Stegostoma tigrinum: one gene and its partners. The protein of the gene in region 3 interacts with the protein of the main gene of each other region in a pairwise test. Links are inferred from orthologs where the notes say so. Each region holds a gene or a part of one and is shown on either strand. Other genes may lie near its edges.

The links.
Region 1: the proteins of doublesex- and mab-3-related transcription factor 1Y-like (region 3) and plakophilin-2-like interact in a two-hybrid assay, tested with the Homo sapiens proteins (2 studies listed by BioGRID). The link is inferred for Stegostoma tigrinum from reciprocal best matches to the Homo sapiens genes DMRTB1 and PKP2.
Region 2: the proteins of doublesex- and mab-3-related transcription factor 1Y-like (region 3) and il16 interact in a two-hybrid assay, tested with the Homo sapiens proteins (2 studies listed by BioGRID). The two-hybrid records come from large-scale screens. The link is inferred for Stegostoma tigrinum from reciprocal best matches to the Homo sapiens genes DMRTB1 and IL16.
Region 4: the proteins of doublesex- and mab-3-related transcription factor 1Y-like (region 3) and exosc5 interact in a two-hybrid assay, tested with the Homo sapiens proteins (2 studies listed by BioGRID). The link is inferred for Stegostoma tigrinum from reciprocal best matches to the Homo sapiens genes DMRTB1 and EXOSC5.

What each region holds. Positions count from the first base shown.
Region 1 is NC_081371.1:46,427,619-46,435,435, reverse strand, and holds the start of plakophilin-2-like, read left to right. Parts: upstream 1-4,796; 5' UTR 4,797-4,827; coding exon 4,828-5,014; intron 5,015-7,817. UniProt on the Homo sapiens protein: A component of desmosome cell-cell junctions which are required for positive regulation of cellular adhesion.
Region 2 is NC_081386.1:4,862,451-4,870,056, reverse strand, and holds the start of il16 (pro-interleukin-16), read right to left. Parts: upstream 3,007-7,606; 5' UTR 2,847-3,006; intron 1-2,846. UniProt on the Homo sapiens protein: Interleukin-16 stimulates a migratory response in CD4+ lymphocytes, monocytes, and eosinophils. Primes CD4+ T-cells for IL-2 and IL-15 responsiveness. Also induces T-lymphocyte expression of interleukin 2 receptor. Ligand for CD4.
Region 3 is NC_081361.1:42,266,101-42,274,000, forward strand, and holds the start of doublesex- and mab-3-related transcription factor 1Y-like, read right to left. Parts: upstream 3,020-7,900; 5' UTR 2,908-3,019; intron 1-2,907.
Region 4 is NC_081392.1:8,365,738-8,372,684, reverse strand, and holds the start of exosc5 (exosome complex component RRP46), read right to left. Parts: upstream 3,012-6,947; 5' UTR 2,966-3,011; coding exon 2,869-2,965; intron 764-2,868; coding exon 650-763; intron 1-649. Other genes in the region: bckdha (2-oxoisovalerate dehydrogenase subunit alpha, mitochondrial), read left to right, coding at 3,314-3,424. UniProt on the Homo sapiens protein: Non-catalytic component of the RNA exosome complex which has 3'->5' exoribonuclease activity and participates in a multitude of cellular RNA processing and degradation events.

The DNA of each region.
Region 1 (7,817 bases), on a different chromosome or scaffold from region 3:
TATTGAACAGGTTTCTAAGAATAAGGTGAATTTAGTTGCATTGAAGAAAGGCATCATTTGGACAAACGGAAACAGAGCCTTGCACCTCAGTGGTAGTGTCCTTAACTCGAAGGGCAGGGGGTTCAGATTTAAATCCATGATGGCTACAGAGGGATGTCATAACAAGTCCAAACAGATTTTTATATTTACAAAGCAGGCTTCGGTGATACTGTAATCTCCCCACTTCCGGACCAGGAGATCCAAAAGCCATCTACCCTGGAGGTGTTTCATAACCTATACAGACAGATAGGCTTCAATATATTGTGGTAATCGGGGGGCTCAGGTTAATAGAGTGGGAACTGCTGAGGTTGCGGCTCATTCACTACATTGACCAGAGAGCCTAGATATTTTTAATCAATTTATTCAGTCACATTATAACACATCTCTGGAGCTGGTGGTTCATGAATCCAGACCTTCTGGCCCATTGGTAGAGACAGTACCATTGTGCAACAACAGCTCCTTGACCAGGCAGTCTATCGTGTTTCTAAGTAAGCATTTATCTGTTAAGGGACTTCTGACGCTGGTTAGCTCAGGTGGTTAAGAGTGTGTGTTAATAATACTAGGGTTGCAAGTTCAGTCGCTGCATTGGCCAGGAAGCCTCCAAGGGTTCTAGGGAAGCATTTATCCTATAAGAATCCTGTGGTGTATAGTGACAGCAACCCTATCTCTGTCCCAGAACATCTGAGTTCAACACCCACTTTCCTACAGGTGAATCATAAAATGCCCAGATGAGTTGACTTAAAATGAACAAAAAGCAGACTTCCATCCCTTACTTTTTAAAGTGAAAAACACTGTACTAAATTCTCACAGAAAGTGCTGGAGAAACTCAGCAGGTCTGGCAGCATCTATGGAGAGCGAAACAGAGTTTTGAGTCTAGAGATAATGGGAACTGCAGATGCTGGAGAATCCAAGATAATAAAGTGTGAAGCTGGATGAATACAGCAGGCCAAGCAGCATCTCAGGAGCACAAAAGCTGACATTTCGGGCCTAGACCCTTCATCATCTAGGCCCGAAACGTCAGCTTTTGTGCTCCTGAGATGCTGCTTGGCCTGCTGTGTTCATCCAGCTTCACACTTTGAGTCTAGAGAATTGTCCTTGGAACAGGACTCCCCCTTGGACTCTAAACACTAATCCTATTTTTCTCTCCACAGACTTGCTGAAGTTGCCCAGTACTTTCTGGTTCTATCTCAGATCTCCACCGTCCATTGCTTTGTCTAAATTCTCATTCTATTCTAACAGATATTCACCCAACATTTGTTATGTTGCAGAATAGAACTTCTGCTGAACACGCGTCCAATATCCTCTCCTCCTACTCTCCATAGCAGATCCATAACAGCTTTCATTTTGACCTACATTGGCTCCCTGGTGTTTCTAACTTAATTGTCTCACCCTTATGTTCAATCCCTCCCTTCCTCTAGAATTTTCTCCAGCTCTATAATTCACCAAGGTATTCCTCTAATTCTTGTCTCTTGCACATCCTCAACTTTTCTCACCCATCCATTTCTGGCCAGGTCTTCGGCTGCCAAGGTCTTAAACTATGGAATTTTTCTCTCAACCACCTCTCTTTCTCGCTCTGTCCTGCTTTAAATCATATCCCTCAACAAAGATAATGGTCACATGTCCAGAATGACCCGGGGTTTCTATGGGGCATCTTTTAGCACACTAAATGGTGCACATAGTTACCATTTTTATAAAAGTGAAGGTAGCTTTACACAGTTTACCTGCGGCATGATACCGACAGGAATACTGTAGCGCTCCTCACTCAGGAGCGAATGTGCTTTTAGTTAAATTTATCACATCACTAGGTCTCCAACCGATCTTTGAATGTAACAACAATGAGCAATTATACGGCACCTATGGTTCAGTTAAACATCCCAGGGTGATTCGTAGATGAAATTTTCACATAAAGTCTGACACTGAGCCACATGAGGATACAGGAGAGTAAGTGAGCAAAAGCTTGGTCGATGAAGGTGGGTTTTAAGGAGCTTCTGTGACAGAACTTCCAACGGCAGCTGGCAAATATGTGGGAAGGCATGCTCAGAGGCACTTGAGGAATAGTGCAAAAAAAAATCAGTCACTATGTGGCAATAGTGAGGGGGTGTTGGCAGGTCAGCCGTTGCAAAGACCCTCTGGAAAATAAGCATCTTTGGGGGAAAGAGATAGTAGGAACTGCAGACGTTGGAGAATCTGAGATGACAAGCGGGCTTTTCTGCCCATTTCTGAAGAAGGGTCCAGGCCCGAAATGTCAGCTTTCCTGCTCCTCTGATGCTGCTTTGCCTGCTGTGCTCAACCGGCTCTACACTGTGTTATCTTTGGGGAAAGAGTGCCCATGGGATGACACAGCTGACAGACAAAGGATTCCTCAGCCCAAAATAAACAGCATGCTTTATTCCAAGTAATTATTGAAAATACTTCCAAGTTTAAACTTATTTTCCCGTCATGTTTGCAAATGAACGGATGCTGATGAAGGGTCGAGGCCCGAAACGTCAGTTTTTGTGCTCCTAAGATGCTGCTTGGTCTGCTGTCTTCATCCAGCCCCACATGAGGCATTCCACTCCCTCACATCCCAGATGTCCACGTTCTTCCAGGACCGCAACTTTCCCCCCGGCAGTGGTCGAGAACGCCCTTGACCGCGTCTCCCGCATTTCCCGCAACACGTCCCTCACACCCCCGCCCCCGCCCCCAGAGGATCCCCCTCGTTCTCACATACCACCCCACCAACCTCCGGATACAATGCATCATCCTCCGACACTTCCGCCATCTACAATCCGACCCCACCACCCAAGACATTTTTCCATCCTCACCTTTGTTTGCCTTCCGGAGAGACCACTCTCTCCACGACTCCCTTGTCCGCTCCACACTCCCCTCCAACCCTACCACACCCGGCACCTTCCCCTGCAACCGCAGGAAGTGCTACACTTGCCCCCACACCTCCTCCCTCACCCCAATCCCAGGCCCCAAGATGACCTTCCATATTAAGCAGAAGTTCACCTGCACATCTGCCAATGTGGTATATTGTATCCATTGCACCCGGTGTGGCTTCCTCTACATTGGGAAAACCAAGCGGAGGCTTGGGGACTGCTTTGCAGAACACCTCCACTCGGTTCGCAACAAACAACTGCACCTCCCAGTCGCGAACCATTTCAACTCCCCCTCCCATTCCTCAGATGACATGTCCATCATGGGCCTCCTGCAGTGCCACAATGATGCCACCCGAAGGTTGCAGGAACAGCAACTCATATTCCGCTTGGGAAGCCTGCAGCCCAATGGTATCAATGTGGACTTCACAAGCTTCAAAATCTCCCCTTCCCCCACCGCATCCCTAAACCAGCCCAGTTCATCCGCTCCCCCCATTGCATCACAAAACCAGCCCAGTTCTTCCCCTCCCCCCACTGCATCCCAAAACCAGCCCACCCTGTCTCTGCTTCCCTAACCTGTTCTTCCTCTCACCCATCCCTTCCTCCCACCTCAAGCCACACCTCCATTTCCTACTTACCACCTCATCCTGCCTGCTTGACCTGTCCATCTCCCTGGACTGACCTATCCCCTCCCTACCTCCCCACCTATACTCGCCTCTCTACCTATCTTGTTTTCTCTCCATCTTCAGTCCGCCTCCCCCTCTCCCTATTTATTCCAGTTCCCTCTCCCCATCCCCCTCTCTGATGAAGGGTCTAGGCCCAAAACGTTAGCTTTTGTGCTCCTGGGATGCTGCTTGGCCTGCTGTGTTCATCCAGCTCCACACTTTGTTATCGTAAATGCTGACTGTTGCTAATTTAACCTATTAACCTGTCATCCAAAGCATTTGTCAGGCTATAAATCCCATTTATTGGACAGATTGCAGCACTTGGATGACAATCATTCGCTAGTCTTGTCAGTAGAGCACAATAAGAGGTTTGTTTTCGAAAGAATCAGCTATTAGAAGGATGTAAGATACAGGAGCAGAATTAGGCCTTTCGGTCCATCGGGTCTGCTGTGCCCATCATGGCTAACATGTCTCTCAACCCCATTATCATGCCTTCTCTCTGTAACCCTTAATCCCCTAAATAATCAAGAATCACCGTAAGTTCATGTTGACATTCCTAAATTCCACAGTGCAGTTGCAAACTTATAACAAATGCAGGTCCATAAGGCCTGTTTATTTTCATACATAACAGCTACTGGGAGTCCCTCTGTGTATAATGCCCATTCAGTTTACTACAGAAAGGCCACGCAAAGCGTGTAGATACGTGGGCCAGCTTTGCAAAGCAAGGAGCTGGAAAAACGTTTGAAATCTTTCACTGCCTGTGTCTGCGGCAAGTCTAGACCTTCCATCCCATCCCTTGCCCCCTATGATTCAATGCCACTTTCTTGAGCTATTTGCGGTCCGCCTGATGCAAGAAGAGCCTTTAACTCCAATCGATTATAATCGTGGGCAATGCAAGCTCACTCAATGCATAGAATGGTAGCCAGAAGAAGTCCATTCGGTCCATCGGGCGCATGTTGGCCTTTTGAAAATGGTGCTCAACCAGTTTCCCTTGCAACTGCCCATCGGTTACTTTACCCACTCCTGTTCTGAAAATGGTGAATCAATCTGGTTTCAGTGCTCCTTCAGACAGTGAGTATTGCAATGAAAGGCTCTGCAGGGAACACAGCAGGATCAGAGTTGGAGAGCTCGGGAGAACCGGGCTTTTGGGAACTTGCGACCAGGAAGTGTGCAGCAGGAGGAGGTTTTGCAATCGCTCGGGGGTGGTTCTGGCAGTCGCACAGACACACCTCAGTTACAGGCAGGAGTAGCAGCTGGAACCTGCAATGGTGAGCAGCCGGGACCCTTTCTTCCGCACGGTGCTGAGCCAGGAGATCCTCTCTGTCCTGGACTCCAGCCTCGCTGTCCCCTCCGATGAGAAGCTCCGCTTGTCCCGCCAGGATGACAAGAACTTCCGAATCCGGCAGCAGGTCAGCCTCAGCATGTCCCGCAAGAACAGGAGGGCATCCACAGGTAAAGGGGCATCCGCTGGTCCCCGGAAGAGGGCACACGTTCTCCTCCGGAGGGGCTGTCCGATTCACCCCCTCCTCCCCACCCCCCCCCCAAACTTTGGTGGCTGGATGCTTGCGAGGGGAGAGTCTGTCCCCCTGGGTGGGGAAGTGTACGAGGGAGAGTCCGTCTTCCCTGGGGGAGAGGGGAGAGTCTGTTCCCCCTGGGGGAGAGGGGAAGAGCCTGTCCCCCTGGGGGCGAGGGGAAAGTCTGCCCCTCTGCGGGGTGGGGAAATCTGAGAGGGAGAGTCTGACCGCTGGTGGGGGGGGGGGGAAGAGTCTGTTCCCCTCGGGTGGGGATGTGTATGAGGGAGAGTCTGTCCCCTGGGGGAGAGAGGAGAGAGTCTGTCCCCCTGAGTGGGGAAGCATATGAGGGAGAGTCTGTTGCCCTGGGGGAGAGGGGTAAAAGTCTGTCCCCCTGGTTGGGGAAGGACATGAGGGAGAGTCTGTCGCCCTGGGGGAGAGGGGTAAAGTCTGTCCCCCTGGGGGAGAGGGGAGAGTCTGTCCCCCTGGGTGGGGAGGTGTACAAGGGACAGTCTGTCCCCTGGGGGAAGAGGGGAATTGTGTGTCCCCTGTGGGGGCGGGGGTGGGGAAGTCTGAGAGGGAGAGTCTGACCATTGTGTGGGGGGGCGGGGAAGAGTCTGCTTCCCTGGGTGGGGATGTGTGAAGACTTTGCACCCCCCACCCCCAAGGGAGGCGACGGGTATCTGCATGGAAGGGGTGTGTTGAGGGTGGGGGGGTCTATCCCCTGGGGGAAGGGAAGTCTGTGTTGCTGTGGGAGAGGGAGTCTCTGTGAGAATCTACACCATGATTCCCAAGTATACTCGAAGGTCAGATGCTGTAGTGCTGGTAGCAGTATTTTGTATGTGTGAGAATGTAGTGACAACACTGAAACTGTCACAGAGGCAGCTATGTTTTCTTTTCAACAAAGTGTTGAGAAAAACCCATGGGAGGACTGCTGTTGGTTTTTTTTCTTCCACTCACTTATCTTCCTCAGTGTGGACTTGCTGAATGAATGTTTCTCCCTCTTATGGCTGTCTTTTAGATGTGACGTTAAAGGTCCCTCAACTTCCCTCTCATATTGTGTAAAAGATCCCATGGTCACTGTCGCCTCAGCTTGCATTGTGACTATAGCACAGAAATGGATCTTTTCACACAACTGGCCCAGGCTGGTGTTTTTGTTCCACATGAGTTTCCCCAACATTGCTTTATTTCTTTCTGTCAGTGTAGCCTCCCTCTGAGTTCTCCCTCATGTTTATCCAGCTTCCCCTCTAATGTGTCAATACTGTCAGCTTCAATCACTTCCTATAGTAACAGGTGTTTTACCCTGGTCACTTTGTAGGTAACAGGTGCTGTGCGGGTCTGTATTAAACTCAAGAAAGTAGGTGACGGCCATTCGCTGGTTCATTTCTTAGGAAAATGCCATGACCAGGCAGAGTCAACCTGCCTCCTTTAAAATGTAAACAAAGCCTGGCAGTTAACTGTCAATCATTATTAACTGGTTTAAGAAAAACAAATGAAATGCAGACGCTGTAAATCAGGAACAAAAACAGAAGTTGTTTGAAAGGGTCTGCTGGCCTGGCAGCATCTGTGAAGAAAAATCAGAGTTATTCTCTGATTCTGAGATAACAAGGTGTAGAGCTGGATGAACACAGCAGGCCAAGCAGCATCAGAGGAGCAGCAAGGCTGATGTTTCAGGCCTAGACCTTATTCCAAAGAAGGGCCTAGGCCCAAAACGTCAGGTTTCTTGCTCATCTGATGTTGCTTGACCTGCTGTGTTAATCCATCTCTATACCTTGTTATCTCAGATTCTCCAGCATCTGCAGTTCCTACTATCTCTGAAATTTATTCTCTGATTCGGTTTTTTTTCTCCACAGATGGTCCTCAGCCTGCTGAGTTTTTCTAGCAACTTCTGTTTTTGCCCATTATCAACTGCTACATTTATCTCTGGCAACACCTCTGCCAACCAATCAGCGCTCTCTGCTCATACAGTATAATGTTGGCTTCCCTTTAAATCTGTATTCTTGTGATTTGTCCTGATGAGTGCAAGATGAAAAGCTTCGATAAAATATGCCATTTTAGAGCAAAACTCAAGTTTAACATGAAGGTATAAATGATAAAAATTGTTATGTGGCCCACGATTGCCCTTGAGAAGGTGGTGCTGAGCCACTTTCTGAAACCACTGCAATCCATGCAGTTTAGATGCTCCACAACATGATGGACAAAGGAGTTCCAGGATTCTGAACCAGTGGTAATTAAAGAACAGATGTAGCTGCAAGTCAGAGATGCCAACGTTTACTGCAGTGGTAAATTAGCCCCAACCCATCACTGATAACAATCATTACTTTGGCTCCTGCTGTGCTGCATGTTAATTGCATATGTCTATGCCTGCATTTTGCATTGCAGCCTTGTCACTCGTCAGCTCCATTCCATTGAGAATCCATGCTGTGTTGTCGAGTTACGCTGTTGTGGGGTCTCTTCATCAGTCTGGCTCCATTAAAAATCCATTTCAGGTTGTCCTGTCAAACTTGCAGCGTCCAGCTGATCTCACTGGGTGGAAACCCTGAATAGCTCAATGAAATACTAACATCTGAATTTTGCATTATTTGCGGATTAATGACTTTAGTATGAATAAGCAAGTCAGGGAGTAATTTTGGAGGGATACAAAGGGCTGCAGATACAAATTAGGGAGCAGGCCACCCTCCTACAATGTCTCTAAACAAGAGCAGGTAATTCTGTTCTTAACTGCAATCTTTCGCCATCTCTGC
Region 2 (7,606 bases), on a different chromosome or scaffold from region 3:
CCCGCTCAGGCCTCCCATGCCTCTGACTCTCCTCTTGTGCAGCGATCCCTCTCCTCATGTTTCAGATCTCTGCGCTCCATGCTCTAGCACTCTGTCTGTGCCCTTCCCCCATCTTTCCAATTCTGTCTTCTCCTTTAAGATCCTTTCCTGGTCACCTCTCTGAATATTGCTTTCTTTGGCTCAGAATTTGTTTTTGCTCCACACTCTATGGAGCACCTTGGCACAGTCTTCTATATTGAAAGCTCCATATGAATGCATGAAAAATAAACAGGCAAAGTTAACAGAATATGGAGAGAATAGGGTCAGTTCCTGCTATAAGCACAGTTATGAATCATAGGTCTCTCAGTTCCACAGTTGGTCTAATTTCTCTAGATCAGTGAATGATTTTCCTATGTTGACATGATAAGTAGCCAAATTTGAAATTTGTTTTTGCCAAGTGTAAATAATACTTGTTCTGAAAATAATAGATCACATGTAGATTAACTATGGATATGTTGGTGTTCCTAGACCTGAAATCCTCAGGCCTGGAAAAATAAATTGCACAGTATGAGTTTAATCCCAACTTGCCAATTTGGGAATATGAATTCAGTTTTAAAATTCTGGGAACTGAATGCTGGTATCGGTAAAAGTGTCAACGAAGCTGTTGAATCTGGTTTATTAACGTCCTTCAGAAAGGAAACTAGCGATCTTTATCTAGTGTGTCCTATATGGGTCATCAGTTTGATTCTAATATTGTTCATTTTTAGCTGCACTTTGAATGACCTAGCACTCAGTCATATCAAGCTGCCTCTCAAGGTGCCTACAGATGGGTAATAATTTCAGCTTTGCATATAATGTCCACTCTCAGCGAATGAAAAAAACTCTAATACTTTTAGACTTTAGTTGGAGCAGCATGGTGGCTCAATGGTCAGCACAGCTGCCTCACAGCAGTAGGAACCCCGGTTCAATTCCAGTCTTGGGCGACTGTCCATGTGGAGTTTGCACATTCTCCACCATCTGCATGGGTTTCAGAGCTTCAGTTTCCTCCCCCAGTCCAAAGATGTGGTTAGGTCAATTGCCCATAGTTCCTAGGGATGTACAGGCTAAGTGGATTAGCCACAGAAAATACAAAGTTACAGGGATAGGGAAGGGGGATGGGTCCTGGTGGGATGCTCTTCAAAGGGTTGGTGTGGGCTCAGTAGGCCAAATGGCCTGCTTCCACAATTTACAGACTCTATGAATGAACCTTGGCTCTGAGTGGTAATTGACATTCATTGGCTTCATGTAACCCAGGATGTTGATTCACTATCATCTGCTTTACACAATCGCACAGTCAGGATCTGCTCCTACATTTACATTGTACCAGATGGTCTCTTGAATGACATGTTAATGTTTGTGCATCTGTATTTCTATCAGATGACAAAGGCTTGAATAACAGGCATGATAACCAGATGTGACTGAGTAAGCACATGTTAATTATCAATTTAAAAAGTCATGTAAGATAAAAACAATGACAGGGTAAGAACTTTCCTGTCCATGTTACTGTAATACTGTCATTAAAAATTTAAAATCAATGCTGAACAGTTTTCAACTAGCATCAGTTGGACATTTTAAGATGGAAACTTGAAATTTGGCTTAAAATTAATTTTATTAAGGATTTGGTCAACTAGAAAGAGAGAGAGGACATACTTCCTCGAATGCTGGACACCAGTCAAAGAAGAAGGAACCTTAGAATGTGAGCAAAGCTTTGCAATGATGCCAGTTGGCACTTTTTACCTGCAAAAGGTTGTGGAAGTCTGGAAACCTGAAATTTTCTTCCCCATAATCTGTTGAGAATAGGGGTCAATTGAAAATCGCAAAACTGAGATTGATAGATTTTATTTAAGCAAGGGTGTTGAGGGATATGGAGAAAAAAATGGGATGGTAAAGTTAAGTTCACATTGGTCTAGACTGAATGGTCTACTCATGTTTGAATATACACAAGGATTTCTCAAACTGAAGAGATTGTAAGTCCCTCAATAACCAGTAGAGAAACCACAAACATAGGAAAAGCTGTGAGGCATGAAAGGACCAGCTGATTCATTTAGTCTGTCCCATACCAGCATGAGATTAATGTCTCTTGATACAGGCTCCCTGCCCACTCCAAACAAAATGTGGGTAGTGCGGATCCATAAAGATAAACAGAAAAGAAATAGCTGCATTCAGATTTCTCCACTCATAAACTCAGGGCATTCACAGTTCTCCACATTCAATGAAGTACTTTTAAAGGGCAATTACTATAAAGTATGCAAAATCGAGCATCTAATATGTTTGCCGCAAAATTCCATGAAGAGTAACAGAAGAAAGTGTGGTTGCTCTATTCCTAGTGCTACTGTTTTAAGAATGCATATTGCCAGGGAATCAGGAATGCCCTTCCTCCCTAGTGATGTTAATACATTCATCTGAATATGTCCTTGTATCCTCGAAATAACAGCTCAGCAGAAACAGACAGAAGAAGAGGAGAAATAACCAAATGGTGAAATTCAGCAATTGAAGAGAGAGTGGTAATGTTACATTTTCAGAGGAAAGGCACTTTTAAAATATTCTTGGATGAAGAATGGAGAGAATCAGCTAAGTGTTTGTACTTGCCTTAACTCCTGGCTCAGTCTCCTATACAGTCAGCCGTTACTTTGCACCTTAGTCCCAGTTCAATCCTAATGCTCCTCTCAACCATAGATCTGCCGTTCTCACCACCTTTAAGCCATTTAAGCATTAATGGGATGTGTGAGCTGTCTAATACAGTTACAACAAACCAATTCTGCTCACTCAGTTTCCACAGCAGGGAGCTCCGAGTAAATTTTGTACAAGAACATTAAGAATTGACTTACCCTCACAGGACTCAATCTTAACCAGCTCCTCTCTTTACCATCACTTGGGTAATCTCATCGACCATCAGCAGTGTAATTCCTTTCCTGCTTCTGTTTGGCCCTCATTTTGGCAGATCTGTGGGTTTCAGTTTGCTTTTCACTGGCCACACTCCAGCTGAGTGTGATGGTTGCAGAAGCTAGTGTCACGCCTGAACAGAAATGGAGAGTTTTTATCCCCCTAGTCAGAGGTCGTGTATGATTTAGATTTGGCTGTTCCAATTACCACCCTCACAGCTGGATATGAAAGAGCTCTGTTATTTTACAGTTCCTGAGCTGAATTGTGGTCCTGTTTCCACAACACAAGTTAATGGGAGACCACGGTCTTTGCCTGGGACTCTCACTAACGTGTACCACAGTTGAAAAGCTTTAACTCTGTGCTGTCAGGTTGGGAAGATGTTTGTCAAATTTCTCAGCATAATTGCAGACGTGCTCTCCTGTGCTACAGTCACTGCCCATGTTGGAGGAGGCATGTAAAAAGCTCACCTGCACTCCTGCCTCTTAATCGGCATCTTTCATCTGGGATTTCAAAATATTCCCATCAATTGGACTTGCTTGACGCAAGTAAATAACGCCTTTCATGCAGCATGCCAGAGCACTTCTGGGTAGATGCTTCTGAATAAACTCTATGTAGTGGTATGCCTGCTGTGAATTACAGCATCGAAAGACAGCCCAAAGCAAACAGATCTGACACAGAGGTGTGATTCAGTCAGCCTGCCACATGCAGAGAGGAACACTAAAGCCAAGCATGTATTTTTAGTGGAAAAAAAGCACACAAGTTATTCAGCAAGCAAAACGACGTTCATTTGCTCACTCAAGGCACAATTTGTGATGTATTGTTCCTTGGAGATGTAATTATTTTTTAAAAATAAACAATTATTGCACATTGGTGTGCTATATTTTGTAATTTAAACTACAATTGACACAATATTCTTATCACGTATACAACTCAAAATTAGACAAGAACAAGGTACAACCTAAATATTATGTGCAAGAAAAATAATATTAATGTTCCTACAGGCCAAGATGTCCTTTAGAAAGGTTCTGGTAGAATATGCACAGAAATACACTCAAATTTGGAACTTACTGCTAAAGGAAGTTTGCCTGAACTGTACAAGGCATGAGTAAGACTGCATCATGTAAAAGTTTGGCCCCCTTACTTGAGGAGGGATGTAGCTGTATTCGAGACAGTTCAGAGGAGATTCACTAGATTGATTCCAGTGATGACAAGTTTGTCTTTTGAAGTGAGATTGAGCTGTTTAGGCCTATTGTCTCTGGAATTTAGCAGAAAAAGAGGAGATTGAATTGATTGTTTATAAGGTAGTAAAGGGGTCAAAGTAGAAGTAGAAAGAATACTTCCCCATGTTGGGCAATCCAGAATGAGAGGTCATAGTTTTAGGATAAGAGGTAGTGGATTTAAAACAGAGTTGAGGAGAAATTACTTCTGTAAAGGACCTGTGAATCTGTGGAATTCACTGTCCCAGAGTGTATTGGATTCTGGGACAGCAGTAAATTTAAGGAGATAAACATATTTTTTAATTAATAACAAGTTAAAGGTTATGGACAGCGAACAGGAAAATGGAATTGAGGCTGAGATGAGATCAGCCATGGTTGTATCAAATGGCAGATTAGGCTCGAGGGGCTGAATGGTCTACTCCTGCTCCTAGTTCTTATATTCTGACATCAGTGATACCTTGGAAGAAGGTCATTTGGCCCAACCACACATTCCATATTCTCTGTGTTCTAATATTAATCACCCACATTGTTCCAGGTCATTTCAACCCCTTTTTCCTTCACCCCCCTCCCAATCAAAATCTTGAACATTGACATATGGGGGTCATGTTGAAGTGATCCAGTTTAGCAGATTGAGATCATAACTGAAGTAGCTTCAGTGGATGTGAAAATCAAGAGTAGAGTAAAACTCTACGAGGATTATTCCGGGTCCAGTTCATGCTCTTTGTGCAGATCACTTTCCCAGTTTCCATCATGGCCACAAACATGGGAAATGAAGTCCATGGCCTAACAATTCTCAGTAGAAAGGAGGTTTTAAGTGGCTTGGGACGTTTCATTATGTTAAAATCCATGTTGCTATTTATGACTCTACTCAAAACCTGGTATGTTTTATATTTTATTTTTCTTCGTCCATCAAGCATTTGAAATGATTCACTTCTTGCTTTCACATGTCATTCCTTCTGAACTGGTTTTTTGCATTTTGTGTTTGATCCGTTGCTAAGACAGTTAATGAGATATTCCTTATCTGACAGTTCCAAATATTTCACCTCCCTTAGGACTTTAAGAGGCCTGCCAAAAAATTGCACAGGTTGTATCTAAAGGGTCAACCCTGGTATCCCGCACATCCTGGTACAAGGCTTCGGGGTACACAGATAGTGGCAAAATAATCACATGATTTGGCAGAGGGAGCTATATCCATTGTATCCTAACCACTGGTATTTTACCAGAGGCAGGTGGCCTGCCTAGTCCAATGGCAATTGAGGCCCTTTTCAAATTAATTTATGGGATAAGGGTGTCACTGGCCAAGCCAGCATTTATTGCTCAACCCTAATTGCCCAGAGGGCAGTTAAGAGTCAACCAAATTGGCTGTGGGTCTGGAGTCACATGTAGGCGAGGCCTGGTAATGATGGCAGTTTCCTTCCCTAAAGACATTAGCGAATCAGATGGATTTTTCCAACAATCACCAATGGATTCACAGTCATTGTTAGGTTCTTAATTTCAGATTTTTATTAAATTCAAATTCTGCCATTAGCCATCTAGGGATTTGAACCTGCTTACCCAAAATGTCATCTGGATCCCATCACCAATTAATGAGCACAAAGGCCCTCTTCCCACTGGCACTGGTACAAGAGTGTGCTTTGCCATCTCGAGAGATTGCTCAGTGAAATCTGACACCTATAAGAAGGCAACCTCTCCCCACTCTTGAAATAAACTCCAACCTCCTCACCAGGCTGATCTGATTGGCTCTATTGAGTACTATACCGACTTAGCTATATCTAAGGCCTAGATCCATAGAGTCACTGCTCCAGGAACTGCTGCAGTCCCAGGTACGGCCACTACAGTTGGTGGCACTGTTGGAAATGAACAGCTGCCTGATGTTCTAACTTAGAGGAATGGAACCACAATTGATCACGTCAACCGCTTAAAATATAATCATGACTTCTAGAGTAGGGAGATTTTGGTTTTCCCCCCTGACGTTCCAGGAAATAGGTGAGGCTATCACCTCCTTTTAATATCCCAGCAGCTGATTTGGTGTTGTCTGCCAGAAACCTCACCTACTGGGAGAGGAAATCACAAATTCAGTTGAACACAGCCAACAAACATATGACTATACTGGACAAGATGCAGATAATCCACTTTTCACCAGGATGTGGTACTTTCATCATTGTAATTCAATCTCATCACTAATTTTCATGATCATGTTCTGAATTTACCCATTCATGAGGCAACTGCAGAGAGAACAGCCATTGCCAATCCTCCAGGTTAATTGAGTCTTAAACAATACAAGCCAGAGAGTATGAAACAGAGTAAGAAACAATGAGAACATAAGAACAGAAGAAATAGGAGCAGGAGTAGATGTAGGGGCTGCCATTCAATATGGTCATGTCTGATCTTTGACTTCAACTCCACTTTCCCACCCATTCCCAATTATTCTTTGCTTGCCTGAGCTGTCTATTCCAATCTTAAATGTATTCAGCAGTGGAGATTCCACTGATTGAGAGAATACCAAGATTCATAACGCTTCCAGTGGAAACATTTCCTCCTTTCTCAGTCCTAAACAATTGACACCATGTCTTAGGACTGTGCCCTCTGTGTTCTAGATTCCCAACCTGCAGAAATGATCTCTCAGCCTCCACCCTGTCATTCCCTCAGGATCTTGCATGGTTCACTGGAATCGCCTCTCATTCTTCTAAACTCTGAGTAAAATGGATCCAATATTTTCAGCTTCTCATCATAGGACAACTCTTTCATTCCAGGGATCAATTTTGCTGTGCCACGTCTAATGCAAGTTGATCTTTTTTCAGCTTCGGAATTCAAAACTGTACTCAGTATTCTAGATACATGTTTCACCAAAGCGCTATCCAATTGTGACAAGACATCATTATCGCGGCATTCCATCCCCTTATAATAAAGGCCAACATGCAAACTTCCTTCCTAATTGCTTGCATGCTAGCTTTCTGTGTTTCTCGAATGTACACATCCAAGTTTCTCTGAACATCAATGCTGACACCTTTCAAACTTTTTAAAGCATGTTCCAGTTTTCTGCTCTTATGGTGAAACTGAATAAGTTCACACTTCCCAACAATAAAATTAATTTACCATCTTGTTACCCACTCACTTAAACTCTGTCTTTTTTAGTCCTCCCCACAGTTTATCTTTCCAACCAGCCTTGTATTGTGAGCACAAAGCATTAAGAAAGGTGAATTTCCTTGGCTTGAGGAGTCAGACCATTAATAATTTGCATTTATTTAAAGTCCTTAGCATTCGTTTTATTGTCACATGTACTCACATGAAAGATGGGAAGACGTCACAAAAGATTGTTCACACTAGAGACGGGAACTAAGCAGAGGGCTGGAGCGAGGAGAGGAGAAACTGAGGCTTGCCACCGAGGAAAAGCGCGCTTGATGGAAAAAAAGCAACATGGCAACACTGGAGGGGAGTGTCTTCAAATGCAGTCGCTGCAACCGAGACTGTCACTCCAAGTTCCCCAT
Region 3 (7,900 bases):
TGCTTGGCCTGCTGTGTTCATCCAGCTCCACACCTTGTTATCTAGGCAAAGTGAGTATTTCTTTTTCAGTTTGAGCATATTGGCTCTATTTTTTTGAAATGTGAAGCCCCTCAAGGAGAAATTGCATTAATTAGGCACTTACACAGTACAGTTTAAAGACATTTGTAATTATAAAATCATAGTTCCACTTGCAGGATACAAACCCTGGCCACAAGCAATTTGGACCATATTGTGGATTATTATATCATAGTCATTTCTATGAAAGAGAAATAATCACACATGACCTGCAGACCACAAAGCACAAAGACAGTCTATGGTCTCAAAGGCACAGAGCTGATTTCTTCTCACTTTGAAGCAAGTGTTTGCCAACAACAACTTACATGCAATGCTGCCTTCCTTAGGTGATGTGGGGTTGGTTCCTGTTGCATACATCAGAATAAGGTCCACTATGTCAAAGGTCTACGTCAAGGCATTTCATGGTCCTCATTGTCAGAATCCACCACATCCCACTGTAAGGAGAACTGTACTAAATTGTCATTATATGTGATGCAAATGCTGACTGCTCACACAGTTCTGTTCTGTTTCTGATATTCCCCAAAGAGGTTCATGGAACCAAGACCAATGGATCCAACCACAGCAGCACAACCAGTACTGCAATTGTAATGCAACAAAGGTGCAGAAAATCAAGGAGAAAAAAATGTGCCAGTAAGCAATCTCCAGCTCCAGTCAAATATTCTCTTTTTGAAGAAGTCACCACTGAAGTTCCCCTCAAGATGCAGAGAAAGGAGGATGTTTTGTGTCTATTGTCCTCAATGTTATTTTCTCTAAATGAGCAGAGTGCACTGCCACCTCTACCTGTGGGCATGCCAGAACACTGTTCTAGGGCACTGAACTGTACCATCTGCTGAAGCAGAACTTGCAACCTGAAGGGATGGATGACCATCGTATCCCAGTGGCCAACAAGGGAACATTAAACATTTATGCACCTAGCAGCTTCCAAGAATCGACAATATGATATCTCTCAATTTCTCAACCCCAAATGTATCAAGGTTGTTACTGATGCAATTTCTTCCAGATCACACATTTCATCTCATTTCCCGTGACAAGATCAATGCTGTAGCCCAGGTGGTAGGCATCGCCAATGTAGCTGGCTTTCGTCAGGTGCATGGCACTATAAACTGTAAACATATTATGCTGAGAGCATCATTATCATAACATGACTGACTTCATCAACAAAAAAGTGTTCTGCTGTACCACTTCTTTGAATTCTGTACTAGGTACCCTGGGAGCTGTCATGATGCCTCTATCTTTGAGAACTTCATGTTTTCACTTCATTTTAAGGGCTGGATACCTTCCAAGGCTGCTACTGAGAGACAAAGGCTAACCCCTACAACCACGGCTAGTGACTCCATTCTGCATCTCCCTGGCTGAGGTCAAATATTGATACAGTGCAACCTATTCTTCCACCAGGGCCATTATGGAGCAGATGACAGGCTACCCAAAAATGAAGCTCCATTGTTTGGATTGGTATAGGGGGCCTTGCAGTTCGTTCCAGACAGACCATGCATATAATCCAAGCATATGCTCTGCACAACGGGAGAAGATGAAAGAGGGGATGTGAGGGGATGTTGAAGAGTTTGGAGTGGGGAATCAGTCTACTGAGGAGGAGGAGATGAGGACATTGAGCAGGTGAAATATCATCTTCAGTGTGATAAAGCAAAGTGGCGTTGGGTACGATAAGTTAGACAAGCCTTAATTGACACCTGCCTTCCAAGAGATGTGAGCTGAGCGATCACTCATTGACTGAAAATTTGCTGTTGCTCAAACTAAGTCACACCCTGTTTGTTCCCAGGAATAAATGCACCTTTTTTCTTTGTTTACTTTTCGTGTTATTCAATAAACATGAATGACTTAAACAGTTTGAAGGCTTTCCAACATGTGAAGCTCCCACATTGAACCATAGAAAAATGCTCTGCTACATTGGGTATTAAGGATAGAGTAGCACTCTGATTCTAGCGTGGCATAGTGCTAAGAATGAGGTAACCTGTGTAGCTTGATTCTTGTAATTGTAGTTACGATCACATCTGATCAGACAGTTAATGATGTAAAATAGTAAAAGTGTTTGCTTCCACTCACAATGAAGTGTTACCATGGCACCTATGTGCCCTCAGAATATTTTCTTTCTCATTTCCTTTCCAATTACAGTGCAGTGAAGGGGTATTTGTGGCTGGCAGTGATTGTCCCGGTAAACAGCTCGTCTCTAAATAGGGCACCGCAGACGGAAATCTTGGCAGTGGAGAGTATTTCCGCCAATGGTGAGCAAGAGTAATGAAAACACAGCACCACAGCATCACGCAGCATCCATACTGAAGTGGGCAGTAGAAAATTGCATGAGATAACTTGCTACAGCTCACGAAGGGAAGCCCTTCATGAAAGTCCTCAAAATTGATCCTTAACTGATTTTTAGTAAAATTGAGCCTGTTGTTTTGAAGTGAGCACTCCCTTTCTGTAATGCAGCTAAACAACCACAAGAGGACAGCACTAACCTTGAAGAAAAATACATTAATCTACTCAGGAAAAAAACACAGGAAACGTGTTAAAATTATAATATGAAACCTGCGTAAAATAAACGATAAAACTGAAAACAATCAATTTAATTCACACCCGATTACACCCTACTCTTTAGCCTTTCTTATCTTGGCTTTTGACTCATTGCGGTTCTCACAGCTTTTGCATTCCATAAACTACAACTTATCCACAACACTGCAGTCCCCATCCTTTCTCACATTTCTATCACCATTATTCCTGTTAATATCCACTGTCTTCTTGCGCAATAAGCTAATAGGATTGTGTTTTATATCCAAATCCCTCTCACGCCACTCGCTCCTGCCCTAAGCTAAAATTTACCTTTCACTGGACTATGATCCACTGAATGAAGCCTGGCTGTTTCTCTCATTGCCATCCCTTGACTGGGATCCTGTCGTGCCTCTACGTCTTCTTAGCCCAGTGTTAAAGCTGAGAACTCTTTTTGTACAGCACAGTGGAAAGCCTTTTGACCCATTATGCCTGAGTCAGCTCTTTGAAAGAATCGTCATTTATTCCTACTCCCTTACTCCTATTGCTCTGTATTTCTTTTTCATTTCATTTATAGAGTTTATACATCCAATTCCCCCTTTTACAGTTACGATTAAAGCAATTGGCAATCATGCGTAAATCAATGGAATCATCCTTCCCTTTCATTTGATTGGACTATGAAGAAGGGAGGTAGCAGATATTTCATCCTGATTTCACTATATGCCATTACATTAAAAAGGTTGGAAACTTGTGGAGCTGAACCTTTGACGATGACATGTCTAAGTTCACTGAACCCTCTCTTAGAAACACTTCGGGGATGCCGCCCACTTTGAATCTGCACTTAGTGAGATACCAAGCAAGTGAACAGAAACAGTCAGATTCTGTCTCACTTGTGCAGCGATGTTGGCATTTCAGCATTCCTCAGTGTCCGGCATAGTTATAGTTAAGTTGGCATGACTTCCGTTCATGAAAGAACTAAATATGTACAGTTGCTTTGCAAAGATTGAGCTGAATTCAGTGATTCCACACTCAAAGTGCAGTTGTCTCAGTTAAAGGGAGTAGGAGTCAAGTCATCAGTGCTGCACTGTATTATGCTTCCATGAAGCAACACCCCTCACTAGCGGTTTCGGTTAAAGTGAACTTACCTTGGAAAATGTATTTAAAACTGTACGTGGCTGCTTCAATGCTGAATAACCAGCAGGGGGAGATGTGTGCAAACAAGATTATTTCTGGATGATCAGTTACAAGACGTTCTTGGCAATGAGTCACAGAACTACCCTCGAGGAAAATGTGTATAGCTAAATTTGAAGCATACAAAAATAATCATTTGGACTGAATGCATTTTGCAAAGCTTTCTCTTTCTCCTAAATCTTCTCCTATTTCTCTCCTCCTCCACAGGAGTTGCATCCCCCAAATATCTCTTATCGGGTAAATAAAATTGAAAGAATTGCAGATGATGTAAATCAGGAACAAAAACAGAAGTTGCTGGAAAAGCTCAGCAGGTCTGGCAGCATCTGTGTAGAAAAAAAATCAGAGTTAAAATTCTGGGTCTGGTGACTGTTCCTCAGAACCGATGAAAATGTTGGTTTATGTGCAGAAGATAGGGAGGGGGGAGGGTGTAGGGAGTAAACAGGATAAAGGGTAGAGCCCAGTAGAGAGCAGAGTAGTTGGATAGACAAAACCGTTGATAACAATCTTGCGAAGAGGGTCAACAGCTGTTAACGGAGACTGTTAGTGCCTAACAATAGATAGTGTGTAATGGCTAGCTATGTGATAACAAGGCCTCAAAATGTGAGGCTGGATGAACACAGCAGGCCAAGCAGCATCTCAGGAGCACAAAAGCTGACGTTTCGGGCCTAGACCCTTCATCATGATGAAGACCCTCTCTGATGAAGGGTCTAGGCCCGAAACGTCAGCTTTTGTGCTCCTGAGATGCTGCTTGGCCTGCTGTGTTCATCCAGCGTCACATTTTATTATCACAGAATGGTTACAAGTGACTATACTTTTATCACTGTTTCAAAACATATTCCACTCTAAATCTTGCTGCAGAGCAGAAAAAAAAGGCAGAAATTTTATAAACTTTGGAGACATGCTTTGAGCATTAAGTGAATGTTACAGAAAAACAACACATATTTAAAATGAGGGAATAATGTACAAACAGATCATTGATTAATATGTACCATCATTAACTCAGCTTGCAGAAACCTATGAATAGTTGCAAAATAAAGATGATCCCCTTAAACAGGATTGTATTAGTCATAAGAGATGCAGAAGTGAAAACACACCAACTGAGACAAGAGAAACTTACATTCCAGAGAGAATTGACAAGTGCAGACGTGCTGAGGCTGTGAATTTGTAGCTTGAGGATATTAATGGCAAAACAAACTAGGTTTCCAGCATTGCACTGATAGATACTCTAGGTAGACAGGACAGAACAATTACAGAAAAATTGCAGTTTGAAAGTACCAGAGAGGACATAATGCAAAGAAGAAGAGGCATGGCCATTGTGGAGAAAGCTGTGTTTTCACTGCAAGAAGCCGAATCATTGTAAACACATGTATGGCTAAAAAGAAGCAAGTGCAGAAGGCCATTGGAGATATGTCAGCTGAAGGTTCTGATGAATCACTCTACATCAGTCAGTAGGTTGATTTAGTCAAGTTATTGAGTGATACATGCTTTGTGACTATGGGAATGAAGACTGCACAAGGAAAACATCAAGTCAACATGAAGTATCAGATAGATATTGGTGCATCATGACCTCATTGACCTGTAGGAAGTGGTTAAATGCGGTGATCCAAAAATTAAGGAAACCCTCAAAATAAGGTTAAGGCTATATCATGGCACCATCATCTTGCCAAGAGGACAGGTTACTTTGTGAATGGTTGCAACAAAATGATCGAGGATCTTGAGTTCCGGATCATAGATAGATAGCATATGACACTTATTTCAACAAGGCAAATTTAAAGCTTGGAGTGATAAGCCTCAATGTACCAAAGACATTTGTCACACGTCACAGTACACTAAACCATTGATGTAGAAGAAATGGCAGAGGAGTACATTGATGTATTTGCAAGGCAAGGCTGTCTTCCAGGAGAATATCACCTTGAAGCAGATGAGAACGGAAAACCAATTCCCGCAAAGCCAGGCTGAAACACAAGAGGGAGGAGCCCGGAAAAAGGGAGTAATCAAGAATCTGACAGCTCCTACAGTGTGGATTGCTGCATTTTGGCAGTGAAACAACCTGGAAAATTGAGAGTATGAATCAACCCAAAGGATTGAAATAGAGCCCTGAAGTGATATCACAACCCATGCTACAGTCAAAGGGATTTTGCCACAACATGCAAATGTGAAAATCTTCATCACCCAAGAAGCAAAGGTTCATGACTGGCAAGTGAAGCTCAATGAAAGGAGCAGTTTTCTAACCGCGTTCGTGATGCCCTTTGAGAGTTACAGTTGGCTACACATACCCTTTACTAAATACCATTACCAAAAGGATATTAAACATAGAACATAGATCAGTACAGCACAGGAATGGGACCTTTGGCTCACGATGTTGTACCAAACATGACGCCAAATTAAACTAATCCCTTCTGCCTGCCATTGATCCATATCCCTCCATTTCCTGCATATTCATGTGCTTATCGGAAAGTCTCTTAACTGTCCCTATCCTTTCTACTTCCACCACTACCCCAGCAGTGTGTTCCATGCTCCTACCACTCTGTGTAAAAAACTTGCCCCTCTCATCTCCTTTAAACTTTTCCCCTCTCACCTTAAACGCATTCCTCAATTTTAAACATTTCAACACTGGGAGAATGGTTCTGACTGTCATTCCTCAGCATCTGCCACTCCAGAGAAAACAACCCAAGTTTTTCTTGCCTCACCTTATAGTTCATTCCCTCCAATCTAGGCAGCATCCTGTAAACCTCTTTTGCACCCTGTCCAAAGCCTCCACACCCTTCCTATAATGTGGCAACCAGAATTGAATGCAGTGTGGCCTAGTGTGGCCTAACCAAAATCTTATAAAGCTGCAACATGAGATCCTGACTTTTGTACTCAATTCTCTGACCAATAAAGGCAAGTATACAATATGCCTTCTTTACCACGCTATCTACTTGCATTACCACTTTCAGGGAGCTATGGACTTGAACCCCAAGATCCCTCTGTACATCAATACTGTTCAGACTTCTGCCATTAACTGTATACTTTGCCTTAACATTTGATCTCCGAAAGTGCAGCACCTCACACTTACCTGGATAAAACTCCATCTACCATTTCTGCACCCATATCTGCAACTGATCTATATCCTGCTGTATCCTTTGACAATCTTCCACACTATCTACAACTCCATGGTCTTTGTAATATCTACAAACTTACTAACCCATTCATCTGCATTTTCACCTAAGTCATTTATGTATATCACAAATAGCAGAGGTTCCAGTACAGATCCCTGCATAACACATGGCCAAGTCATGTTGGATCCCATGCATTTTAATTTTGTGGATGAGCCTACCATGAGGGACCTTTTCAAAAGCCTTCCTAAAGTCCATGTAGACAAAATCCACTGTTCTACCCTCATTGACTACCTTCGTCACCTCCTCGAAAAAATTGATCAAGCAGGGTGCCCCACGCAAAGCCATGCTGATTGTCCCTAATTAGGACATGTTTTTCCAAATGTGTGTGAATCCTGTCCCTAAGAATTCTCTCCAATAGCTTCCCATCCACCAATGTGAGACTCACTGGTCTATAGTTTCCTGGATTGTCCCTATTTCCTTTCTTGAATAGAGGAACAACATTGTCTACTTGCCAGTTTTCTAGGACCTCTCCTGTGGTGAAGGAGGATACAAATATCTTGGTCAAGACATCAGCAATCTCCTGTCTTGCTTCTCTCAAAACCTGAAGTTGATATCTCTGGGCCTGGGGACTTATCCACCTTAATGCCCTTCAAGAGACCCAATGCTGCTTCTTGATCTCAAAATGCCCTGGCATATTAGCACGCTCTACACAAATCTCACAATCCTCCACATTCCTTCTCCTGGGTGAATACTAACGCAATGAATTTATTTAGGATTTCGCTCACACCCTCTGCCTCCAAGCACAAGTTCCCTCCTTTATTCTTGAGTGGCCCTACCTTCTCTCTAGTTATCTTCTTGTTTTTAATGCCTTGGAACTCTCTTTAATCCTACTTGCCAAGGTGATTTCATGCCCCTTTTTGTTCTCCTAATTCCCTGCTTAAGTTCTTTCCTGCTTTCTTTATATTCCTCATGGGTCCTGTCTGATCTATATGCTTCTTTTTTTCCTTTAGACTAAATTCACAACCTCCCTCAGT
Region 4 (6,947 bases), on a different chromosome or scaffold from region 3:
ATTATGGCACTGCAGGAGACCCAGGATGGACATGTCATCTGAGGAATGAGAGGGGGGAATTAAAATGATTCGCGATTGGGAGGTGCAGTTGTTTATTGCGAACCGAGCATAGGTGTTCTGCAAAGCAGTCCCCAAGTCTCCGCGTGGTTTCCCCAATATAGAGGAAGCCAAGCCGAATTCAGCAGATGCAGTATACCACACTGGCAGATGTGCAGGTGAACATCTGCTTGATGTGGAAAGTCATCTTGGGGCCTGGGGGAGAGTGGGAGGTGGTGTGGGACCAAGTGTAACATTTCCTGCGATTGCAGGGGAAAGTGCCGGGTGTGGTGGGATTGGAGGTGAGTGCGGAGCGGACAAGGGAGTCGCAGAGAGAGTGGTCTCTCCGGAAGGCAGACAAGGGTGGGGATGGAAAAAATGTCTTTAGTGGTGGGTTCGGATTGTAGATGGCGGAAGTCTTGGAGGATGATGTGTTGTATCCGGAGGTTGGTGGGGTGGTATGTGAGGACTAGGGGGATTCTCTTTTGGCGGTTATTGCGGGGGCAGGGTGTGAGGGATGAGTTGCAGGAAATGCGGGAGACACAGTCAAGGGCGTTCTCGACCACCGCGGTGTGGGGAGTTGCGGTCCTTGAAGAACGAGGTCATCACTTACTTGGCAATCCAACTTTTGGCTTTAGGAGGACATCTAGCGTGGCCTTGTCGAAGATCTCTTTGCTGACTTTTACTTCTGCTGGTCCATACACTGCAGCCAGGACTGTCGTGTCCCCTTAAGTTTACAAAGAAAGCATCCAAAAGGTTGTAAACATAGGTTGGCATTGCTTAGTGGGAGCATTGCAACAAAGGGTTAATGTGACTTTATAGACACAGTTGCTCCTTCACAAGTAAGAAAATTAGCAGAATTTTTAATTAGAAAAAAGCTAGTTCCACATCACTGAGGCATTTACAAGATTTAAAATGGACTGATGTTTAAATAGCTGAACACCTTTCATGACCAAATGGCACCATAAAGCACTTTAGTTACTTTTGATGTGCAGCAACTGTTATGACCTATTGACCAGGGAGACTTTGAGGGAGTTTGACATGGGTGGATGCCAAGAGGATCTTTCTATTCCTGGGAGAACGGAGAACAAAGATCTCTCATTTAAGATGGAGATGAGGATGAATTTCTTTTTCAGAATTCTCTCCCCAGAGAGCAGTCACAGCTGGGTCACTGAATACATTGAAGTTGGAGTTAGGCAGATGTTTGTTTGACAATGGACTCAAAGCTTAAGGGAGATGAGCAGGAAAAATGGAGGTTATGCCCACCAGATTAGTCATGGCCTTATTGACTGGCAGAGCAGGGGTTCATGAACTGAATGGCTTGCTCCTGCTCCTAAATTTTATGTTAAAACATGGACAGTGATAAATTGTGCAAAGCTCCCACAAACAGCAATGTAATAACAAATAGATTGTCCAATTGACATAAATTGTGCACAAGATAGTAGGCAAAATGTTCTTCAATCATAGGTTCTGCTTTAGTTGTGTTGGCATCTCAGTCTAATCTATTTCACCAACATTTCTATGGGTAGTGTTATTGAAATCAAGGATGACCTTCCAAGTTGGCCACCCTGATTATGAAAATTTATCAATGAGAATAATCAAAAGTTGGGTCTTGAAGATTTCAAGTGATGGCAATCCCACCTAATTTGCACACATTTGTTAACAAAGTATAGAGCTAGATGAACACAGCAGGCCAAGCAGCATCTTTGGAGCACAAAAACTGATGTTTCAGGCCTAGACCCTTAGAAACCTGATGAAGGGTCTAGGCCTGAAACGTCAACTTTTGTGCTCCTAAGATGCCACTTGGCCTGCTGTGTTCATCCATCTCTACACTTTGTTATCCCAGATTCTCCAGCATTTGCAGTTCCTACTATCTCTTGCGCATCTTTGTACTGGGGGAGGAAATGGGGCACCCCAAGAAAACTGACACAGACACAGGGAGAATGTGCAAACTCCACACAGACAGTTGCTGGAAGCTGGAATCGAACTTGTATCCCTGGCGCTTTGAAGCGACATGCTAACCACTGAGCCACTGTGCTACACTCAACATGAGATGGTTGGGCCAAATGGACTATGTTCACATTGCCTGCAAGTCACGATGGGCCAAAACTGTAATGATTCTATGATTACATGAGATTAATAAAGGGCAATGGGCACAGCCAAACAGTGATATTGGCTGTGGATAATACAGTGCTGTGGGGAAAGAGAGTCACACAGTAAATATTACCAGTGTATGGAACTGATGCAGAGATATTGAGAGTGTGTGAAACTGTGAGGCTATTTTGAAATTGACACAGGGCCGTGGCGAATGGATAAGAGATGCAAGGAGCAGTGGAGTTAGTTGCGGATCTATACAGAACTTTAGGAGAAATAAATATTCCTATCTAAAAGAAAATATACTGACATTGAACCAGTCCTCAGAAGATCACACAATTGACTCTGGTGTATCAGGGTCGGGGGAGGGGGTTGGTGTGTGAAGATTATCTGACGAGGAGAGGTTGAGTAGGATGGGCTTGAACTCAATGGAGTTTAGCAGAATGAGAAGATAACTTGCTGAAACATCAGAAACGTGGGAGAATGAGAATTGAGTAATTTGAGTGGGAATGCAAGTCTGAGAGTCGGTCAGAAGAGAGACGAATGAATTATAATTTTTCCTTGTTGCTCTAAATGAGCTCCCCATCTGTAATCTCCAGAATCCCAACCCCACACCACCCTCCTCATACCTGCCTTCCCACAGTGAGTGTCCCACATTACAATAAGACTTGGGTAAGCGGGGGGGGGGACAGAGTAGGGTCTGAAAGAGTCTTCCCAAGGTAAAGGGCTAGCACCTACCTTGTGTGAAGCAGGCCGAGCCATCGGGCCTGGACAAGAGACTGTGTTCACTGCCGAAAGGCCGCAGTTGCTGCTGACTCTCAGCACCTACCTCCATCCCAAGCAGCACCGACTGTCAGGCCCCCTCCATTGTTAACTGACGGTGATCTCCACCAATCAGAAACCAGTACATCACAATATTAACCAGTCAAAATCAAGATTGGGTGGGACCTCTAGGCCATGCTCCGCTGGGGGCAGCAGCCCCTCACCAAGGACCCCCATTCTACGGACAACTTACTGTACGCCTTTACACAATAACAGCAAATAAAGCACGTTCCTTTTCAAATTAACCTGCGTGGCTTTTACTGCTGTTCGGTCTCATTGAAGGGGGCCCCGCGCTTGTTGTTGCTCTTCCTCAGAAGGCGGTGATAATGTAGTACAGGCGGCGGCTGGACAGACAGTAAACATGGCGGCGGCTGTCAGGCAGTTGGGAGTAAGATGGAGCGGCTTGTGGAACAGCCGCGTCTCCCGGGCTCAGATCGCCCTCTCCGCGTCTCGGCGTGCCCTATCTACCGGGGTGAGTAATTCCCAGAGCCTGACCAAAGGGTAAAATCACTCTGGGCCGAGGTTCCGGACCACCTCCAGCCGATTGGTCAGGAGAGGGGGTGGGATCCTGGGTCTGGCTAGTCAATGGGTTTTACAACCTAAACATGCAATCGGAGTTTTACTGTGATTCATAACGTAATAGCAGAACTTAACTAGATTTACTGATTGCTTCATTTTAACTGAATAACTGGACGTAAGATTACGAGGCTCACTGATTGCTTCAAAACTTTAAGCTATAAATAATAACTTTCCTGTCTTTCTGCTTCACAATTAATAAATCATAACGGAGACTTTAATCGTCACAATGTCTAAATCATAACTATTGATTCTTTAATGACTTAGAATTCCTAACGTTTTACTGCTGTCTACCTTATTGTGTCATAACCTTACTAGGTGTGCTGCTTGCTTCGTGACTTATCATAAATACTTTTTCATACTTTTTCATTATTCATAACTTACGAATCCGCAACTACTTTCTAAAACAAATTGTTTGTTAATAATCTGGGATGTGAATCCCCCAAATCCTATCATACTGGTTGGGCAATTTTGAATTCAGTTTATTTTCTATATTTATTTATAGTTGTAATGTTATTAATTATAGATGTAATGTAATGGAGAGTGTTACAGGTGAGTGCAGCAATTGTTCAGCCTCCCTCTGCCCTTGACAAGGTATTGGTGAGCTGTCTTATTAAACTGCAGTGTGTGTTGTGTTTGTACATCTGCCGCACTGGTCACTAAGGAAATCCAGAATTTTGCTATAGGTACAGTGAGATATTTTCAAGTCAAGATGGTTTGTGAGTTGAATGGAAACTTGAAGGTGGTCATCTTCCATGCACTGTCAGTTGTTATTCCTCCAAAACTGGAAAAAGTCTGCATTTAAATGTACAAGTTCAGAAATTGCTATCAATGATTCTCTGCTTCTCCATCGGGTACGCTGTTGATTTTCCCAGTTTTGGTACAATTAGAAATCAATTAGTTAGTTTTGCTCTATATAATCCTCAATACAGGTTACATTAAAATGGCAGATGAAAGTGAAAGCAGGTAAGTGTAAAGTGATTCATTTTGAGGAGAATGCAGTGTGGCAATATAAAATGAAGGTTACAGTTTTAAAGGGGAGAATCGGGCTGTGGGGTGGCAGGGGAGTTGCAAAATATATGGGATCTTAGATTTCATAAATGCAGCATAGAGTACAAAGACATGGAAGTTATGAGAGCTGTATAAGTTACTAGTTTGGAGTTTTTCATCCAATTCTCAGCGCCACACTTAAGGCATTTACAGGAATGAGGAAATATAAATTACATTGGAGAAATTGTGTAACATGGACAAGTATGAAGTTGATCACTTTGGCAGAAAAAAATCAGAATCACAGAGTATTGTTTGAAGGGTCATAGATTGGGAACTGGGTGTCTGAAGGGTCTGGGCATCTGTTTTACACTTAAAAAAATGCCCCGAAAGAACAGCAGATGCTGTAAATCAGGAACAAAAACAGAAGATGCTGGAAAAACTCAGCAAGTCTGGCAACATCTGTGAAGAAAAAAATCTGACAGACCTGCTGAGCTTTTCCAGCAACTCCTGTTTTCGATCCTTTTTACACTGTTTTACTGAGCAGTTAGGAAGGAAAATAGTAAGTTAACGTTCATTGCAGGAGTAAGGAAGCCATACTATAACTATACGGGGTTTTGGTTTGACTACATGTGGAATAATGTGCTGTTTTGGTCTCTCTTTACTGAAAAAAATTTGCTGTTGTGGGGAGTACAGTGAAGGTGCACTAATCTGTTTTCTGAAGAAGGACCTAGGCCTGAAGTAAAGATAATAAAATGTGAGGCTGGATGAACACAGCAGGCCAAGCAGCATCTCAGGAGCACAAAAGCTGACGTTTCGGGCCTAGACCCTTCATCAGAGAGGGGGATGGGGGGAGGGAACTGGAATAAATAGGGAGAGAGGGGGAGGCGGACCGAAGATGGAGAGTAAAGAAGATAGGTGGAGAGGGTGTAGGTGGGGAGGTAAGGAGGGGATAGGTCAGTCCAGGGAAGACGGACAGGTCAAGGAGGTGGGATGAGGTTAGTAGGTAGCTGGGGGTGCGGCTTGGGGTGGGAGGAAGGGATGGGTGAGAGGAAGAACCGGTTAGGGAGGCAGAGACAGGTTGGACTGGTTTTGGGATGCAGTGGGTGGGGGGGAAGAGCTGGGCTGGTTGTGTGGTGCAGTGGGGGGAGGGGATGAACTGGGCTGGTTGAGGGATGCAGTGGGGGAAGGGGAGATTTTGAAACTGGTGAAGTCCACATTGATACCATATGGCTGCAGGGTTCCCAGGCGGAATATGAGTTGCTGTTCCTGCAACCTTCGGGTGGCATCATTGTGGCAGTGCAGGAGGCCCATGATGGACATGTCATCAAGAGAATGGGAGGGGGAGTGGAAATGGTTTGCGACTGGGAGGTGCAGTTGTTTGTTGCGAACTGAGCGGAGGTGTTCTGCAAAGCGGTCCCCAAGCCTCCGCTTGGTTTCCCCAATGTAGAGAAAGCCGCACCGGGTACAGTGGATGCAGTATACCACATTGGCAGATGTGCAGGTGAACCTCTGCTTAATGTGGAATGTCATCTTGGGGCCTGGGATGGGGGTGAGGGAGGAGGTGTGGGGACAAGTGTAGCATTTCCTGCGGTTGCAGGGGAAGGTGCCGGGTGTGGTGGGGTTGGAGGGCAGTGTGGAGCGAACAAGGGAGTCACGGAGAGAGTGGTCTCTCCGGAAAGCAGACAGGGGTGGGGATGGAAAAATGTCTTGGGTGGTGGGGTCGGATTGTAAATGGCGGAAGTGTCGGAGGATAATGCGTTGTATCCGGAGGTTGGTAGGGTGGTGTGTGAGAACGAGGGGGACCCTCTTGGGGCGGTTGTGGCGGGGGCGGGGTGTGAGGGATGTGTCGCGGGAAATGCGGGAGACGCGGTCAAGGGCGTTCTCAATCACCGTGGGGGGGAAGTTGCGGTCCTTAAAGAACTTGGACATCTGGGATGTGCGGGAGTGGAATGTCTTATCGTGGGAGCAGATGCGGCGGAGGCGGAGGAATTGGGAATAGGGGATGGAATTTTTGCAGGAGGGTGGGTGGGAGAAGGTGTATTCTAGGTAGCTGTGGGAGTCGGTGGGCTTGTAATGGACATCAGGTACAAGCTGATTGCCTGAGATGGAGACTGAGAGGTCCAGGAAGGTGAGGGATGTGCTGGAGATGGCCCAGGTGAACTGAAGGTTGGGGTGGAAGGTGTTGGTGAAGTGGATGAACTGTTCGAGCTCCTCTGGGGAGCAAGAGGCGGCGCCGATACAGTCATCAATGTACCGGAGGAAGAGGTGGGGTTTGGGGCCTGTGTAGGTGCGGAAGATGGACTGTTCCACGTAACCTACAAAGAGGCAGGCATAGCTGGGGCCCATGCGGGTGCCCATGGCCACCCCCTTAGTCTGTAGGAAGTGGGAGGAGTCAAAAGAGAAGTTGTTGAGTGTGAGGACGAGTTCCG